2 linked regions of the Drosophila melanogaster genome follow. The protein of the gene in region 1 purifies or fractionates together with the protein of each later gene. This does not show direct contact. Each region holds a gene or a part of one and is shown in the gene's direction. Other genes may lie near its edges.

Region 1 (10,234 bases):
GAAGGGAGCACCACGAGAGAGGACGACACAACTGTTGCAATCGATACAACTACCGAAAAACCTGAGGATGATACAACTGTAGAAGATTCAACACCGATTCCTGAGGAATCTACCACTGTCGCCCAGGACACAACTAATGATCCTGAAGGGAGCACCACGAGAGAGGAAGACACAACTGTTGCAATAGAGACAACTACCGAAAAACCTGAGGATGATACAACTGTAGAAGATTCAACACCGATTCCTGAGGAAACTACCACTGTCGGCCAGGAAACAACTTATGATCCTGAAGGGAGCACCACGAGAGAGGACGACACAACTGTTGCAATCGATACAACTACCGAAAAACCTGAGGATGATACAACTGTAGAAGATTCAACACCGATTCCTGAGGAATCTACCACTGTCGCCCAGGACACAACTAATGATCCTGAAGGGAGCACCACGAGAGAGGACGACACAACTGTTGCAATCGATACAACTACCGAAAAACCTGAGGATGATACAACTGTAGAAGATTCAACACCGATTCCTGAGGAATCTACCACTGTCGCCCAGGACACAACTAATGATCCTGAAGGGAGCACCACGAGAGAGGACGACACAACTGTTGCAATCGATACAACTACCGAAAAACCTGAGGATGATACAACTGTAGAAGATTCAACACCGATTCCTGAGGAATCTACCACTATCGCCCAGGAAACAACTTATGATCCTGAAGGGAGCACCACGAGAGAAGACGACACAACTGTTGCAATAGAGACAACTACCGAAAAACCTGAGGATGATACAACTGTAGAAGATTCAACACCGATTCCTGAGGAATCTACCACTGTCGCCCAGGACACAACTAATGATCCTGAAGGGAGCACCACGAGAGAGGAAGACACAACTGTTGCAATCGAGACAACTACCGAAAAACCTGAGGATGATACAACTGTAGAAGATTCAACACCGATTCCTGAGGAAACTACCACTGTCGGCCAGGAAACAACTTATGATCCTGAAGGGAGCACCACGAGAGAAGACGACACAACTGTTGCAATCGAGACAACTACCGAAAAACCTGAGGATGATACAACTGTAGAAGATTCAACACCGATTCCTGAGGAAACTACCACTGTCGCCCAGGAAACAACTTATGATCCTGAAGGGAGCACCACGAGAGACGACACAACTGTTGCAATCGAGACAACTACCGAAAAACCTGAGGATGATACTACGGCAGAAGGTTCAACACCGATTCCTGACACATCTACTACTGTTAACCAGGACACAACAACAGACGAAAGTAGCACTGTTGTGACTACGACGAATATTCCCAAGGAGAGCACAACGTTAGGCGATTCTACCCTATCACCGGGAGAAAACAGTACTGCAGGACAAGTTTCTACAAGTACCACGCTAGTATACGATACCACGAGTAGTCCAATTCCATCTTCCTCAAGATCCACAACCTTAGAACCCTCATCAAGTTCTTCCCCTGAAACCACAACTTCAAGTCTACCACCATTGTCTTGCAGTACCGGGTATCAATATTTACCCCATCCAACAAATTGTCATAAATATATTCACTGCAGCAACGGGCATGAACTAATTATGGAGTGCCCAGCTAATCTTTATTGGGACTATCATAAATTTGTTTGCAGTGGAGATTCAGGTGTTTGCTACAACGACACTGAAAATTCCAATCCAGAGGAGAAGGTTTGCGGACCTGGAGTGGATTTCCTTGCACATCCAACGGACTGCACCATGTATTTGCAGTGTAGTAATGGCGTGGCATTGGAGCGCAAGTGTCCAGATCCGCTGTATTGGAACCCGGAGATAAAGTCATGTGATTGGTCCAATAAATATTGCACAAATCTTCGGGCGAGTCAATCGATTTCTTGCGCAGCGGGCATGAATTTTAACGTTTTTCAAAGCGATTGCTCCAAATATGTCAAGTGTTTTGGCCTGAGAGGTGTTGTAATGAGCTGTAATTCAGGACTTTACTGGAATCCCGTTAGTCAAGTTTGCGAAAAGTCCCGGCGATTCTGCACATAAGAGTAAGTCCAATTAAAGTAGACAAAATTTTAATAAATAACATGCGGACACTTTTTTTCAGGAGCAGTGCAACGGCATTATTCATTGGACAATATTTACCTAAGAAATGAATAAAAAGATTGCGAATTATTAAAAATTTATTTATACTGTGGAAATTACAAATCGATTAATTAAAGTTAGCAAAATTATTAATATAATGAAACAGAAACTGAATGTTAAATTCCTATTGTTGTATATAAAAAAAAAAAAACACATTCAATCGCATTTTTATTTCACTGGGGTTTTTTTTTTAGATGATCTAAATAGATATTTTTGGATGCATGCAAATTTATTTCAATAGACTGAGACACTTTGGTAATGAACTACCCTATTGTTATAGAAACAAAAGGTAGTCTCAAATTCATCTCAAGGTGTTACAAAAAATTGGTCTCAATATAAATTCTTATTACGATGTAATAAAAATTTCATAGCACTTTATTCCCATTAAAATTGGAAAACAAGGTTAAAGATATTTTTAAGTGCAATTGTATCTAGTAAAATAAGTAATGGGTACACTGTAGCCGGATTATTTGCTTTCCACAGTTCCTAGGCCTTTTTCGTAGATCTTATCAATCTAGGTTTCAATTAAAAATATTACTAGCCTTGAAACACACCCCATACAGACGATGGGTATTCAAAAATTGAAAATTTAATGCTTCAGTTCAATTTAACACATGGTTTCATAGAAGCTCTTAGCAGATAAGGGTATAAAGCCGAATTCAACATTGAATGGGGGCTGGTAGAGACTGCTCTATATATAGATATGACGATGGGTAGTCTAAACAGAAAGCGAAAGCAAATAGTTAGTCTCAAAGGTTATCTGATTAAATTACTTCCGCCAATTTTTGATTTGTAGAAATAAATAAGTGGCTTGGGAAATCCAAAGCCCAATCGATAAAGCCTTCGCCAGATGCAAAGAGAGCACATACAAGTCAAGTGAATGAGTGTGGGCAGGGACACACTTGAAATGTATCCAAGAGATACACAATTGCGTATCTTTATATGCTAATAAATGCCAGTACATTTCCCTAAAATGGGTCAAAAGAGTCCCCCATCCGTTGGCATAGACTACGATGTTGTAATGCCCATAGAAACTCATTTGTCGAGGGGGACGTCAACGCGCCGCCCCTTCCATCGGCAGGCCAAGCCAGACCAAGTGATCGATTGACACGATCAAAGCGCTGATACGTAATGGAATAGACACTCGAATGAATAGCACTGGCGACGAGCTCCCAGCTCGGGCTCCAAGTGCCCTGATCCGCCTCACAGATACCAGCACTCTGCGCTGGTGTGGATCCTACATAAATATTCATGCTGGCCAAATGCAAATGTATTGGAAATTGCTCGCCTTCAATGAATTTGAGTTCTGCTCAAGCTCTAGAGTTTTGATGCTCGTACAGGGCAGCGTTATTCGCAATCCAGCAGTTGTCGCGATCGGAAGCAAATCGGAAAATCTCCATTGGATTCCTAGAACACGCAGCCGAAAAAGTATGTGCCTAGGATGTGTGCCCTCGCAGCAAGGACATAGAGCAAAAACAGCTCTCAAATACAAGGGATTAGTGAAGAAATAAGATAACAAAACATCCTATTAATTGTGCATTACGAAACGGATTACAACTTGTAGAGTTTTATTTGATAAAATTTAAATGTGAATTTCTATATGCAGTGAAATTGAAATCAACCAAAATACAGGACCTTATATCATTAGTAAATGGTCAAAAAGAACAATAAGTGTGTAAATTATAATGTGTGCAAACTAAGAATCTTGTACTAATCGAATCATTGACAACATCTAAACACAATTATGTGAAGATTAAATTTTCTTCCCAAATTTATTAAATATTTCTATATTCAAATATAAATATGTACATTCTGTAACAATTCATATTCGCCAGGATAATCACACAATTATCCTTTCGAAGTGTAAAGTGCTTATGTGACTTTCTTGTATTTTTTACATATAAAAATCAAAATAAAGATGTGAAAAGCGAAAGATATCAAAAAGGATATGTACATATGTATGATTTCAGACTACAAATTCAAACACGTTTGTGTCAAGAACTAAAATTCGAAACTTACATTAATCAGCCTTAGCGATTACATCACTCGCAAGACTGAAATATAACTCAAGATCGATTGCCTTTTTTTTGGCATCTAATAGCACAGCGTGCGTGCTCATTTTAAAGAAAAGTGATAACCTCTGAAAGTGACGGACAAGAAACACAGAGAAGGAGTATAAACTAATAATAACACGCATCTATATGGTGTATTGATAATACAATTCAATTTCATCTTACAGTTTGCTGGTTGTGTTGCCGCGACGTCGACGCCTTTCAATTGGATTCAGGGTTTAATTTATTGAAATGTTGCCCTTTCGCTTGGGCCTGCTACTTGGCGCCGTGCTATTCGTGGCAAGCGCAAATGGAGCTGCCATCGTAAGTTTCCGAATTGTTAATGAATCTCCCCGAGAATTGTTGCTTCTCTGTGTGTGTTGAATGGAACTAGAGTAGTGTAATGTAAATGAACTCGGTTCGAAAAGTAGGCGATAAGACATAATTTGACCAAGGTCAGTTTCTTACAAGCAGCATCTAATCGGGCACACTTGCACAGACCCTTTGAATGAATAAAGATTAGACTGACATTAGCATTGAATTTAAATCGATGTATTAACTTTCAGGAAAATGAGGTTTCTAGTCTGAACGACTTGCAGCGGGAAAAGAGAAGCGGCAGAGGCTAGTAAGTAGTTGGTTAACAACTATTTTGGACCAGATGGGCTTACTTCCTTTCCATGTTTATCCGCAGTTCGAGGGGACAAACCCAGTCTCAGTACTTAAATTTCGGTAAGCCTGAGGAGGATGGAAAGGCTGAGGCAGAGGCTACCGAAAATGGATCTCGCTCCACTGTGTGTGAGTACGGGTCAGATGAGATTCATTAGCACTTTGTCCATTGACCTCTTGACCTCTTTCAGCTGGCACCCATGGAATGGGTCAGGCTCAGAGCCAGTTCTCATCAGGGGACTGCAATGGATGTTCTGGCTACCAAACGGATTACCCTTCTTCAGGCAGAATTCTTGATGCTAGTGGATCCGGAGGCATCGGTAGACCCGATTCCATTATAAGCTTACCCGGAGGTGGTAAGTCGTATATAATCAAAATGTATACAGTTTGATATATGTTGCTCTCCCTGAAGTTGGCGGACAAACCGGAGCTGGACAAGCCGGATACGGAAGCCAACTTGGAGTTGGCGCTCAGGCCGGTGCCGGACAACCCGGATACGGTGACCAACCTGGAGTTGGCACTCAACCTGGAGTCGGACAGCCCGGATACGGAAGCCAACCTGGTATTGGCGGACAGACTGGAGCCGGACAGCCCGGATACGGAAGCCAACCTGGTATTGGCGGACAGACTGGAGCCGGACAGCCCGGATATGGAAGCCAACCTGTGGTTGGAGCTCAGACCGGAACCGGACAACCCGGATACGGTGCTCAACCTGGAGTTGGCACTCAGACTGGAGCCGGACAGCCCGGATACGGAAGCCAACCTGGTATTGGCGGACAGACTGGAGCCAGACAGCCCGGATATGTAACCCAACCTGGAGTTGGAGCTCAGACCGGAATCGGACAACCCGGATACGGTGCCCAACCAGGTATTCTTGGACAGACTGGAGCCGGACAGCCCGGATACGGCAGCCAGCCTGGTATTGGCGGACAGACTGGAGCCGGACAGCCCGGATATGGAACCCAACCTGGAGTTGGAGCTCAGACCGGAACCGGACAACCCGGATACGGTGCCCAACCTGGAGTTGGCACTCAGACTGGAGCCGGACAGCCCGGATACGGCAGCCAGCCTGGTATTGGCGGACAGACTGGAGCCGGACAGCCCGGATATGGAACCCAACCTGGAGTTGGAGCTCAGACCGGAGCCGGACAACCCGGATACGGTGCCCAACCTGGTGTTGGCGCTCAGACTGGAGCCGGACAGCCCGGATACGGAAGCCAACCTGGTATTGGCGGACAGACTGGAGCCGGACAGCCCGGATACGGAAGCCAACCTGGTATTGGCGGACAAACTGGAGCCAGACAGCCCGGATATGGAAGCCAACCTGGGGTTGGAGCTCAGACCGGAGCCGGACAACCCGGATACGGTGCCCAACCTGGTGTTGGCGCTCAGACTGGAGCCGGACAGCCCGGATACGGAAGCCAACCTGGTATTGGCGGACAGACTGGAGCCGGACAGCCCGGATATGGAAGCCAACCTGGGGTTGGAGCTCAGACCGGAGCCGGACAACCCGGATACGGTGCCCAACCTGGAGTTGGCGCTCAGACTGGAGCCGGACAGCCCGGATACGGCAGCCAGCCTGGTATTGGCGGACAGACTGGAGCCGGACAGCCCGGATATGGAACCCAACCTGGAGTTGGAGCTCAGACCGGAACCGGACAACCCGGATACGGTGCCCAACCTGGAGTTGGCACTCAGACTGGAGCCGGACAGCCCGGATACGGAAGCCAACCTGGTATTGGCGGACAGACTGGAGCCGGACAGCCCGGATATGGAACCCAACCTGGAGTTGGAGCTCAGACCGGAACCGGACAACCCGGATACGGTGCCCAACCTGGAGTTGGCACTCAGACTGGAGCCGGACAGCCCGGATACGGAAGCCAACCCGGATATGGAACCCAACCTGGAGTTGGAGCTCAGACCGGAACCGGACAACCCGGATACGGTGCCCAACCTGGAGTTGGCGGACAGACTGGAGCCGGACAGCCCGGATATGGAACCCAACCTGGTATTGGTGGACAGACTGGAGCCGGACAGCCCGGATACGGCAGCCAGCCTGGTATTGGCGGACAGACCGGTGGCGGACAACCCGGATACGGAAGCCAAATTGGCGGACAGACTGGAGCTGGACAGCCCAGCTATGGAAGCCAACCTGGAGTTGGAGCTCAGAATGGAGCCGGACAACCCGGATACGGTACCCAACCTGTTATTGGTGGACAGACTGGAGCCGGACAACCTGGATATGGAGGTCAAACTGGAGTCGGTGGATCGCCTGGATTTTTAACTCAGCCAGGTATTGGGGGTATAAGCGGACCGATTGGAGGGAAACTCGGTGGCGGACAATCAGAAGCCGCAAAACCTGGATATTGGGCTCAACCTGGAATTGGCGGACCATCCAGATACGGCAGTCAACCTGGAATTGGTGATCAGACCGGAACCGGACAGTCAGGATACGGCGGGCAGCCTGGAATTAGCGGACAGACCGGAGGCGGACAACCAGGATACGGAGGACAGGCTACAATAAGCGGACTCCCTGGGTATGGCACTCAGCCAGGAATTGGAGCACTAACCGCTGTTCCTGGCGGACATTATGGATACGAAACTCAGCCTGGAATTGGTGGACAGACCGGAACCAACCAACCCGGATTCGGTGGTCAACCTGGAATTGGCGGACAGACTGGAGCCGGCCAACCTGGATATGGATTTATAGGTCAGCCTGGTATTGGAGGGCAAACAGGAACTAGTGGAAGGCAACCCGGTTACGGAACCCAACCAGGAATTGGCGGACAGACTGCAGCCGGACAGCCCGGATATGGAAGCCAAACCGGAGTTGGCGGACAGATCGGAGCCGGACAGCCCGGATATGGAAGCCAACCTGGAATTGGCGGACAGACTGGAGCCGGACAACCCGGATACGGTGCCCAACCAGGTTTTGGAGGACAACCCGGATACGGAAACCAACCTGGAGTTGGCGGACAGACTGGTGCCGGACAGCCCGGATATGGAAGCCAACCTGGAATTGGCGGACAGACCGGAGCCGGACAACCCGGATACGGTGCCCAACCAGGTTTTGGAGGACAACTCGGATACGGAAACCAACCTGGAGTTGGCGGACAGACTGGAGCCGGACAGCCCGGATATGGAAGCCAACCTGGAGTTGGCGGACAGACTGGAGCTGGACAACCCGGATACGGTGTCATACCTGGATTTGGAGGACAACCTGGAATAGGCGGACAGACCGCCGCTGGAAAGCCCGGATACGGTGGTCAACCTGGAATTGGTGGATCACCTGTGTATGGAACACAGCAAGGAACTGGAGGTCAATCAGGAATTAGCGGTGGCCAACCCGGGTACGGAACTCAACCTGGACAAACCGGAGCCGGGCAACCCGGATACGGAAGCTTACCTGGAACAGGTGGTCAGGCCACAGCTGGCCAACCCGGATACGGACCCGGATCTCAACCCGGAATTGGCGGACAGACAGTTGGTGGGCACGGTGGATACGGTAGCCAACCCGGAATCGGTGGAGCGCCAGTTTATGGAACACAGCCAGGAGGTGGCGGCCAAACTGGAGTCATTGGAGGGCAGCCCGGACAGATCGGAGACAGAGTAGGACAACCAGGATACGGAACCCAGACAGGACAAATTGGGGCACCAGGTCGATATACAGATGGAAGTCAAACTGTACCTGGTGCTGTTGGCACCGGTGGAGTTGGTAAGTAGCTATCAAGGCGGTGGAAAACAATGTTTTGAATTGCTCGTTTCCCAGTTGCTGCCGGTACCAGCGGAGCTGACGATGCCTTCTCCCAAGCCGAGTCATCAATTGGCGACGGACAAGCGTCGGCAAGTGCTCAGGGCAAGAAGAATGGAGGCACGGCCAAGACTCAGGTGTCGGGAACTTACAGCTCCGGCGGAACCTTTAGCGCCAGTGCAATGACGTCCGATGCTGATCGTGCGGCCAGTGCACAGGTTACCGGAAATGCTGATGGAGCCGTGAGTCAGTCTCAGGGATCGGGAGGTCCTGCCCAGTCGCAGGCCCAGGTACAGGTTGCCAAGGACGGCGGCACCAAGGCCTCGTCGCAGAGCGGTGGCATCATCCAACAGAGCCAGAGCGAGGTTCACGCCAATGACAAGGGCGGCCTGGCGGACGCCCAATCGAGCGGACCCGGACAAACCTCCTCCCAGGCCCAGATCGGTTTCCGACCCGGCCAGGAGGCCAATCCTATAGCAGCTAATGGTGGCGGCCAGGCATCGTCCTCATCTGGCACTCATTCCAGTCAGAGTAGCTCGCAGATTCACGGAACATCGAGGTAACATTGCTATAGGATTATTGATTATTGACTTTAGCCACTCATTATTGGTTTTGTATTTCAGCTTTGGTGTTTCTTACCATGGTGCTGCACAATCCGCGTCGGGAACCAAAGAGCAGGTTGCTACTTACAGGGAAGCAAACAGGGAACTCTTCAATACCATCAGTCAGTTTGGCAACAACGCAAATGCGTAAGTAATCGGAAAAGTGAAGAAAGAAAGAAAAACATGTTTTGGGCTATTTAAAAAAAGGGATAACGTATGCTTCTGTGGTTTTTAAATTGGCAAAATATGTTCAAAATTGATTTCGAAAAGTCACACACTTTAGCTCAATCAATTTATTGTGATTTTATAACTGCCATGCCTTTATGGAATTCTTTAGCATAAAACGTATTCATTTTTGTATACTTTTTGAGGTTATTTATGTTGGATACATAAACGAATAAATCCTTTAAAATTTCTAACTACTTTTGCTTACTTACTTTTCAAATGGGAAGTGCGTGCCTCTGTAAAATTTATACGATTGTATTTTATTTTCTTTTCTTTAACTTTCAACTTCCAGTGTTACTGATCGAGCTGATGCTGTCTACAGTGGACCCGCGCTTACTGATGAGTCCGACAGGGTGCCAGAGGCGCAACTGAAGTCCACCAAGCCCAAGGAGGAAGCGGAGCAGGTAGTGAGTAAGCTAGACCACCCGGAGCCCGTTCAGTACGATGATGAAGATGAGGCCGATCCTGATGAATACGATGAGGATGAGTACTATGAGGAGAAGCCAGTGAAGCTAGAGGAATCCCCAAAGTCGTCCACCATAGTGGCACCAACCGAGGCAACACCTAGGCCCAAGACCTACAACCAGTCATCACCCACGCAAAGCCAACAGACAGTCGTGGTGCCGGTGCCGGGTGAAAAGTATCAGGTGGTGCAAAAGCAGAACGGTAAAGCCACCATCAATGCAGAGCCCTCGACCACCGAGGCCATACCACCGGGATTCCGAGGAACCGTAAATGTGGAAAAGAAGTTCCACACCAAGGCCCTGGAGCTGCACGCTCCCAAAGGAGTAGAG
Region 2 (10,098 bases), on another chromosome or scaffold:
CAGATTTGCAGAAATCATTTTCAAAGAAATTTGTTTATGTGAATTCACAATTGGATTAACTTCGCTCTTCTTTGTTTAGTATTTATTTAACAATAATATGGATTCGTCTGAAAGCCAATCGCAAATGGATGACCAAGATGCTCGCATACTGCGTCTGCAAAATCTGATCGAAAAGAATATTGAGATAGGTAAGTTAAATCATAAATTACTAATATCTGAAATAACTATATGAATTGCAGAGCAACAAATCGAAAACAACACCATCGGAGAGTCTATCACGGCCATAGAGGAAATCATTCAGACAGCCAACGATATCAGCAAGGGACATGAAGACCGCCGTACAAACTCCACGGAACTTGTCCTGGACACGGAGCTACTGCGTCGCAATTTCGAAGTTGTGGGAAAAGCTATCCAACATAACACCAACGTCACGGATCGAATGGTGGCCACGGCGATCGTAGGTGCACTGTGTACTTTATTTATGCCTGATCGTAATGTTTGATCCTATTACAGAACGATTTGGTTTTCAAAGAGAGCGAAGAAGATTGGGATGCTCTTTGTTCATTGGCTATTCAGTTCGGAAGACCACTCTTCACCAATGATAGCATGCTGCCCTTCATAGATGTTACTCCAAAGGTGGTGGTTCAAAAGCAACGTGCTCCTCGCAAAACGAAATCTCAAGTAAGTCATTTGTTAAACAATTTCTCACAGTAATATTTGTTCATATTATTATGGATCTTGTAGGTAGATGAGAAGCGTCCAGAAAAGAGTGACCAATTGGAACGCAAGGACGAAGGAGCAGCGTCCGTAACCCACATGCTGAAGCAAATAAGACAAATATATCGAGATGGCAATCAAGAGCCGATTCCGTACTTTAAACTGATTTGCAATCCAAACAATTTTATGGACACCGTTCAGAACGCTTTGCAACTGTCGTTTCTTGTCAAGGAGAACTATATTTCCATCGAAAATGGCGAGGATGGTTTGCCATTGGTTCGCGTTGTGAATTCCAAATCGGTCGAAGGAAACGCACCGTCCCAGGCTATTTGTTCCATCGATGTTACCTTTTGTGAGGTTCGTATTTCAATTATTGTTTAAAGCATTATAATTGATATGATTTAAATTACAGAAAATGGTAAAGCACTACAACCTACATGAGCCAATGTTAAAAAGACTTCCGGTTAGTGAGAAATAGATATATCACTTAGTTCATATTAATAGTTTATATTGTTATTAATAAAACACATAGAACGTTTAAAGTTACTCATGTACGGCATAAATAATCGGGTAATTGAAAGTGTTCTTTCCCCCAAACATTAAGTAATTAACGTAATATCAACACAAAATCATTAAATGAATTTTATTACTCAAGCAGTTACTTCATAGTTCAAACACTTCCCCCAATATTTTACTACGAATCCGCCCCTGCCATTATGTCAATTTTTATGACCGCCTACAAATTGTGAAATATGTAGAAGGGGCACTTGTGAAGTTATAGCAATATAAAATGTATGTATGTTATATTTAGGAACTAAATATTAGTTAAGTTGTTTACTTATAACTTTAACCAGTTTCGGATTATGTTCTTAATCCGTTTTTCCTGGTCTCAATGGGTGGCATACCAAGAATTAAACAAATAAATTACTTTGCAGAGTGGAATAATGAATGAATGAATGATTGGTCCATTAATTAAAAAATCACTCCTGTGCTCGAAATTAGTGCACTTTCCGTTGCACAGCGGCTTTTAATTGAATTCCGTTAACTTAATTCCACAAAGAGAAATTAAGATTAATTAAGATTTATTGCACAATGAAGCTTAGGGTTAATTGCATCTTTGCGGTCGACGGAGTTTAAAAGGCTTTCTATGGAGTATAGCCTTTTCTAAGAGATCAGTGCTTCTATTCAAACTGGATGTAGTAGATCAAGTTACTCGATGCACTATTGTCTGAGATTTTGGGGCTTTCAACTTCATGTGGGCGAAGAGAGTTGACCCAAGTGCAGGAAACTAAGCTAATGTGTAATTATATATAAAACCAAAATGAAGATTTATTGCTCCATATCAGCATAGCAACAAACGACCCAATTAATAGCCACCCAATCTTCAAAATACAAAATTAATGATGCACAAGCGCAGTTTCAATAAGTTGCCAAGTTGGGTTTGTCTTAGTAAATTCCATTGAAGAATTCTACTTCTATGAAAAACTTAGTAAATGCATTATGCTACTATGAGTTTGAGCAAAGAGAAAATAGTTTTTTTTTAACTGGAAAATTATTGAAAAAATGTATTGTTTTTATGCATATGCTGCAATATGTTTTTATTTCAAAAAAACAATTTAGCTTTAAATTTTATCTATTTCAAAGTTTTCTTATTTTGCAAGCAAACTTTTTAAGTTCTTGCCATTTTGGGAGCCTTCTTCTCTTAGTTTCTGTGTGGGAAGCTTAAGTCCGGATTCAGTTCTGCTAAATTATAACCAATTTGGACTCCATAAATTTCCTTGGATCACTTTCGCATTAAGCGTTTGCGTAAGGTTCGAATGTACATTTGTTCTCGCATTGATATTCCGCTGAAAGCTACATAAAGTTAAATGCATACATATGCAGAGACATCACCCACATTATTGTAACTCACCCGTGGTCACAGGCACACCTGCGGTCAGCTAAATAGCATCACTGAATTTTAGATGAAGTGTGAACTATATAGGGTTCTTATTTGTCTTGCCAAAAGCAGTATGATATTAATGAGTAGCAATTGTTTACCTTGATTTAAAATGAAATATATTTAATAAATTGTTTACCCCTTATATTTAACTGGAAAAAGGTCAGTTAAGAATATGATTATAAATAAAGGTAAAAGAGGAAGAAAAAAAGTTATTCATGCTGCTTTATAGACTTAAGCGAACTAAGAGCCTTTCTAGCTCTAAACTATACAGCTTATGCTAAAATCTAAATTTAAAATATTTATAAATAATTTTCGTATCTTGTAACTCAAACTTAGTTTCGCTACTTTTTCGACCATAGCTGTGCTGTGGATGTGCGCCTATCTGTATGTACGCACGTTTGGCTCCAGACTTTTGGGTGGCGCTGGCAATCGACTCCATGCCCATGTGAGTGCTGTGGTTGGGGCTTGGTGAGATGGGTCCCCACTCCTCCGCCTCCTCCCGGTGGAAATCGGGGAGCCACGGGTGCCGTTGTTAGCACCACTCGATCGCCAGAGCTGCGCTGATGCTAGCGGCGCGCTCTGCCTCCAGCACTTTTGTTCCCAAAGCGGCTTTCCCGAAAATTCAGTTCGGATTTCAGTTTGGATTTGAGTACCACGCGATGAAGACGACGGCTTCAATTAATCCAGAATTAGGCGTGCAGTGATACACGGGGTGCTACATATATAGATATATATTTTTTGCAAATATATAAATCAAGCGAATAACTAATATTAGAAAATTGCAAAATCCCTGTGCTTGCTTGTTGAGTGATTTTGTTACAACATTTAAGCGAAGATCCTTTTGATCCTTTTAGTTAAGAGCCAAATTACGAAACATATAAATTTAAATAACTAATTTAATTTAATTTAATTTAATCATTTTAGTGAGCGTAACGAAAAAGTAAGGTTTTCCGATAATTGATCGTTTTGAGTGACATGTCCTTTTCTTTTTTTTTGAAAACCTTTTCAGTGAACCCTTATCTTCAACAATTGTTCGGTTTGTTAACTCTTCAAAGGTCCGAAGACATTTTGAATATGGGCTTAATTGCATTTTGGGGGAAATGCGTATAATTGATTCGGGTTTTTCGTTGTGGGACAAACCAATTCACCTCAATCACATCTGTCCGATGACAGTAATCACTCAAGCACTGAATGCATAATGAAAGAAAGCCCTCTGTCGATGGAGTTTTTTAATTTATCTCGAAAAAAACCCCCAACATTATTTTGCACGCCTTAAATGTGGCAGCGTAATTGCAGTCATTTCCAGATTTTAGGATCGATCGGATAATAATAATACAGGCAGTGAGCCGCAAAGGCAGTTGTCCAAATCTAAAAAGTGAAATCGAATGACAGGCACACTAGTATTTTTTCTTCATAGATTTCAATTTAATTTAAACAATCCCATCTGCGCGCACACACATGTTTCAAAATAGTTTCCCGTTTTGCTAATTGCGGAAGTTTCACATGTAATTTATGGCAAAGCGAAGCGTCAATGACGAAATACAAGAATGCCCAGAAAATATGACATATGTATCAAAATATTTTGGTGCCCCCATGTAATTTGCCTTCTCTCGAAACGATTGAACATTTTTCCAAACACTTCAGTTTAATGCAAGTTCTTCATAATATCCGCACTCTTCGAATTGAGTGTTTTCGAGTTCAGTGGCATGCTGAAGTGCTAATGCCATTGCAACACACATGGGCAAATGCAGTTTCAAATGCAACGATTGGCTCAAAATGGCCCTATTGACACAGTTAAGTAGGCAAAGTCCATTGTGACATTAGGAACTCGCATACCCGCCAACTTGTACACTTCTAGGGTATGCAATTGCCGCTCCACGAATGTGTGTCACTGGCGGCAGAGCACTTTGCTCTTTATAAGGAATCCAGAAATGCTAACAACATAACATAGTACATACACACATACAACACTATGATAAGACATTAAAGCTAAGATTTCATGTATCTTATGTTTAAAAAGCTGGGATCTAACAAAGCATCCATGCCAAGTTCCTTTAGTTATTGTCAAAATATATAGGTTTATATCCTTTCAGAAGATGTTATACATAAGAACCTAGCTTTAGGCGAAAATTCCTAAGTCACAGCTTGAGAACCAAACTGATTTATATATAATTATATAACATATTTGTGCGTATTTGTAGTATACGCAATAGTTGTGTGCTCATACATATGTAGCTCCAAAATGTTGAGTGGGTGTGGAGGCTTCTAATGAAATACGCCCTTCCCATTTTTGTTCACGGATGTTGGTAGTGTATGCTATTTGCTACATTGCTATATGCTATATGCTATATGCTGCCGAAAGTACATCCATTCCAGTCGAATAGTCACGCTCGGTTTAATCGTAATCAATGAAAATAATGGAACTTGAGTTCCTCTGTCCCGAGCTGCTAATACAAGCCTCTACATGCGTACTGGCAAACATTAAAGATCGCTTAAAAATAGCTAGCGAATTTATCTAAAAGTACATAGAGAAATAATCTAAATATATGTAGCTTGTTAAATATTAGGCTGTGGTCTCTGGGAATTCTTTAAGTATGGCACACGTTTTAGTTTTTGGATAATTTGTAATTGTAATTAAATGTATCTCCCTGACTTTTACAGGCTTAGAAATGGCGAAGCTGTTGTTAATATTCAGGTAAGAAAATAGTATCTCAAACCGATGTGTAGCTCAACCTAAAAAAAAAAACGAATTCATGGATTTTTCAATAGATACAAATTTGATAGCACAAAAAGTGGGCGGGGTGAACATCTTGCTCAGCTGGATTTAATCAAGATTTGTTTGCCCTGCCGCCGAACAGTGGCTCGTTTTCACAGAAAACGTTGTAAAAAGTGTAGATCTAGATACTTCAAAGAAGTTTTTTTGCCTTTAAGATTGCATTGCTGTGTTCGGAATCAATCGGAAGTGATTCAGAGATGAGATGGAACTGATGAAACATTCAATTTCCGCTCTTAAAATATTCTCCTTTGCACACAAATATTGTATTTTTATTTTATTTAATTCTGTTTACAGTATTCTTACAATTCTCGCAACGATACACGATTCTAGTTTTGTGCAGGCGGATTTAACAACTAAAGAGCGAATTAAGGTAGGACCTTCCTTATAAACAATAAACTTTAAAATCGAATTAATCTAATTACTGATTCGAACTCATTCATTACGTTCAATGCCCATTTAAAGTGTTATTATAAATTATCACTTTTGAAAAATATGTCATGTTGGTGTTGATAAGCTAGAACTTTAATTAATGTCAAACTAATAGTGCTGTAAATAGTGCTGTCATAAATTTGTTGTAAAGTGCTTTAATGTGTTGTCATAAATTGATGAAATCATGTTTATTATTTTGATTTTTGCTCACAGAAACATCAGGATTGGCTCAGAGAGCACCGAAAACCTAAAACGAAAAAGAAAATCTCAATTAACTCATATTATGAGCTGGCAAACTTGTGGCATACGAGAAAGGATCTATCATCACCCAAGCAAAAACCGAATAATAAGGAGGAATACTTGGAGAACGAGACAACTAGTAAAATATCCAATAAATCCGATGAAAAAGTATTAAAGTCATCAACGATAATATCATTAAATGCCACCAATCCAAGTACATCGACTTTCAAATCCGTTCTGGAAACCACTACATTACCAAGTGTGACTACCAAGGATCTCTTTGAAAGTGGCAATGTTGCGACCACAAGACAGACTCCGAAAGTCGAGGAGGTGTTCTCGTCTCCCAATCCACCGCAAGAAGCAACTTCGTCAACTTCAAAAAAGGCGAAAAAGAAGGTGTATCCATATCCACGTTGGGACAAATGGAGTGACTGGAGTTCCTGCTCCCGAAGTTGCGGTGGTGGCGTTAAGTATCAGGTTAGGAAATGCATCAATCGGTGAGTTATACTAATACTACTGCTTAAGATATATAGGTTATTGGTTATATATATATATATATATATATATGCGCTCATAACCCTACAGTTTGCCTTCATTAGCATGTTTTGGGATAATATCTCTAAGCACTCTACTCTTTTACCGATTTCAGTAACCTATTGACGAATAATCAGCTTACGAGTAATGCATGTGTCGGTTACTTTAAACGCTATCAACTGTGCAATGATGTGCCATGCGACGAACAATCCCCAGATTTTCGGGCCTCCCAATGCTCGGCTTACAACGATAAAGAGTTTCATGGTCATCGATATAGGTGGGAACCTTATGTCAAGGGTATGTGCATTTATGATCTGTAATATGGTTTTATTCGAAACAAAGTAAAAGAACTAGATATTAGCTCACCAAAAAATATCTAGATATAATTCATTTTAAGTCCCACAATCTATTAACAAGTTTAAACACTTTGAATTTGTTTATAATAATTTATAGATGACGCTGAATGCGAACTGAACTGTATGCCATTCGGAATGAAATCATTTGCCACACTAAACGAATCCGTAATTGATGGAACTCCATGTGGACATCCAGCTGAATATTTTAGATCGCAATTTTGGGAGCGCGCTGTTTGTGTTGATGGAGCTTGTAAGGTTAGTAAATTTAAATAAACAATAATAATGCTAGAATAATACAGCAATGATGACTTGATCTTATAGATTTTTTTAAAAATTTTTATTGAAATTTAAAATAAGATAATTGTGCCACCACCAGCAACAGAGCAACTAACGATCGCACATTAAAAGCACTCATTTTTCGATACTAGAGCTTTTTCAAGTACAAGAATCGCATTGAAAACTTAGTATTGGTTTTACATTGAATCAAAAAGCACGCAGCATATAAAGTGATTCGTAATGAAATTCAAACAATCAATATAAAGACATTTCGACGTAAATAAAGTGTTAAGGCAAACTTAATTTTAACCTTGATTTATGTTTTCAGTCTCTCAAACTATAAGCTTCAAAGACTGCATATTTAAATGGCATTGAAACTGTTAATCAGTTAATGAAATTTGTGATATATCAAATAAAAGATATAATTGATCGTTTCCCTTTTTTTTTACTTGATTTGCGTTACAATTTAATTTGCATTACTGATTGAAACCCTTTTAACCTGTTTTATTTAATTAAGTATAGTTTTTGCAAGGCTCTAAATTTCAAATTGATTCTTGAGAAGCGGAATAGGTCAGCAAATCAAAGTGGAAATAATTTTGTGAAAGCAAAAAACTGGAATAAGTCCAATGAGCTTAATTTCAATGAATTATTTTAGTAAACACATTGCCGCAGTTGTGCGTACAGAAAGTCGATCCAAAAAGCAATTGCTTATAGAACATATGCCCCTTAATATGGCTGACTGAATGTATTTTGTACTCATTTATTTTGTTGTTTATCTTGTATGCTTAATAAGTGGCCAATAAATAATGTTTTTGCAAAGCCCACGAATTCCACTCGTACGAATATTACCCTGAACTTACCATATATAAAGGCGTATTCTTAGTATTCCCCTGCAGAAGCTGTAGATAGTTTTTGTGGATTGGATCGATATAAAGAATAATCAATGTTTTAAATATATATGTAGATAAAGTAGTTGAAAAATTAACAGATATGATAGCATTATTGCCCTTGCTGTTGCTGGTGAGTAAGCATTATAGTTATAACGATCTATAATATGGATTATAAAAACTATATTTAAGGCAGTGCAAGCCAGTGGCGAAATCGATGGATTGTATGCGCACAGTGGATCCGTGAGCTGTGGTGGATTACTTTGCCGGCCAGTTACGGGCATCTTTACCAGAAATCCTCTGCCGGAACATGCCTATATACATGTTACCACATTGCCAGTGGGTGCCTCCAATATTTCGATAACTGAACTTAAGAATAGCATCAACTTGCTGGGTAATACATATTTTGATATTGCATAATAATACGTTTGATTATCAAATCTCTTTCGTGGAATTCCAGTCCTGCGCACCTCCAATGAGCTGGCCATTTTCAATGGAGAGAACACTGTCTCGGAGAGCGGATCCTACGAAGCGGTTGGTGCTGTCTTCGATTATCATCGAATCGACGGAGCTGAGGACAGCAATGGGGTGACCGAGTGGATAACGAGTATTGGACCCATTCGGGATTCATTGCAACTTATGGTAGAGCCCCACATATAAATCTCTTAATAGACTTCTATATAATTTAAATACTTTCCTTTAGGTTTTCACCAAGTCAGCCAATAATACTGGCGTGAAGTACGAGTACATGCTGCCCATAGTATCCGAGTCCGAGGAGAACGAGATGTCGCTGGAGAGCAGCGATGGCCTGTTGAGATCCGGTATGGAGGACACCAGTTCATCCAGTAGCTCGCGGGCGGGACGCAAACGTATTTTTAATTGGAAAGTAATTGGGTTCAGTAGTTGCACGAAATCCTGTGGCGGCGGCACGCAGACACCCATCATCCGTTGCATTCGAAAGAATCCATTGCGGTATTACTCGCAGCGACGTTGCACGCATTCCGTGAAACCGGTGTTGAACGAGAACCTATTGCACTGCAACACGCAACCCTGTCCGGCGTATTGGAGATTTGACGATTGGGGCGAGTGTCGCTGCTCGTCGAGCGGCGGTCTGCGTCGCAGGGAGGTTAGCTGTGTCCAGGAATTGGCTTCCGGACTGGTCATACACGTCGATAAGGCCGCCTGCATGGAGGATCAGCCACCCATGCAGAAACAGTGCGAATGTCCCAAGAATAGGCGACGCAATTTATCCCGATACCGCCTGTCTGGTCCTTCGGAATCCTCATCGAATAGCAGCCAAGTGAAGAGGAGCAAAATCGATGGCAGCGACGCCACGGCCATTTGGTTGGTGTCCGATTGGAATCAGTATTGTTCGGTCACCTGCGGTTCGGGCGTTGAGTATCGTACCGTATTCTGTGATCGCTCCAAGGCCGGCGAGCAGAGATGTGATCCTAGCACCACTCCGGAAAGTCGTCGTCCCTGCGAGAAGCCCGCCTGCGAGTTGGGTGATTGGTTCACTGGTCCGTGGTCATCGTGCAATGGCGATTGTTTCGACCTGACACGCACCCGCGAGGTGCTGTGCATCCGTAGCCAGCTGATTACGGAGCACAGCGAGTGTACGCCGGAGCTGAAGCCGCAATCCGTTGAGAAGTGCTCCCACGAGGAGGTGGAGTACTGCGCTGCCCGTTGGCACTACTCGGATTGGTCGGAGGTAGCCAGATACTTGATTTGATTTGTGATGCAGTTACTATATCCGCTTGCATTCGTTTATTGCAGTGTACCAAACCATGTGGCGGTGGAACCCAGCGACGCAGTGTGAGATGCTTGGAGTACGACATCAAGATGAACGCCTTGCGGGAATCAACGCATTGTCGGTACACCAACAGGGAGCCCATATATCGCAATTGCAATGTGCAAGCGTGTGCAGGTGGGTTTCTACTT

What was found.
Region 2: the proteins of prc (region 1) and loh purify together in Drosophila melanogaster (affinity purification with western blotting; one study listed by BioGRID). This does not show direct contact.

The regions. Positions count from the first base shown.
Region 1 is NT_037436.4:11,959,392-11,969,625, reverse strand, and holds the start of prc (pericardin), read left to right. Parts: upstream 1-3,494; 5' UTR 3,495-3,573; intron 3,574-4,384; 5' UTR 4,385-4,448; coding exon 4,449-4,520; intron 4,521-4,762; coding exon 4,763-4,821; intron 4,822-4,887; coding exon 4,888-4,991; intron 4,992-5,053; coding exon 5,054-5,218; intron 5,219-5,274; coding exon 5,275-8,577; intron 8,578-8,631; coding exon 8,632-9,172; intron 9,173-9,236; coding exon 9,237-9,362; intron 9,363-9,732; coding exon 9,733-10,234. Other genes in the region: Muc68E (mucin 68E), read left to right, coding at 1-2,046.
Region 2 is NT_033779.5:10,439,432-10,449,529, forward strand, and holds the start of loh (lonely heart), read left to right. Parts: upstream 1-3,293; 5' UTR 3,294-3,371; intron 3,372-5,320; 5' UTR 5,321-5,328; coding exon 5,329-5,354; intron 5,355-5,729; coding exon 5,730-5,805; intron 5,806-6,077; coding exon 6,078-6,601; intron 6,602-6,753; coding exon 6,754-6,935; intron 6,936-7,091; coding exon 7,092-7,249; intron 7,250-8,204; exon of another isoform or gene 8,205-8,260; coding exon of another isoform or gene 8,261-8,290; intron 8,291-8,349; coding exon 8,350-8,551; intron 8,552-8,617; coding exon 8,618-8,799; intron 8,800-8,860; coding exon 8,861-9,868; intron 9,869-9,933; coding exon 9,934-10,084; intron 10,085-10,098. Other genes in the region: Nse4 (Non-SMC element 4), read left to right, coding at 98-188, 240-457, 514-681, 745-1,074, 1,130-1,195.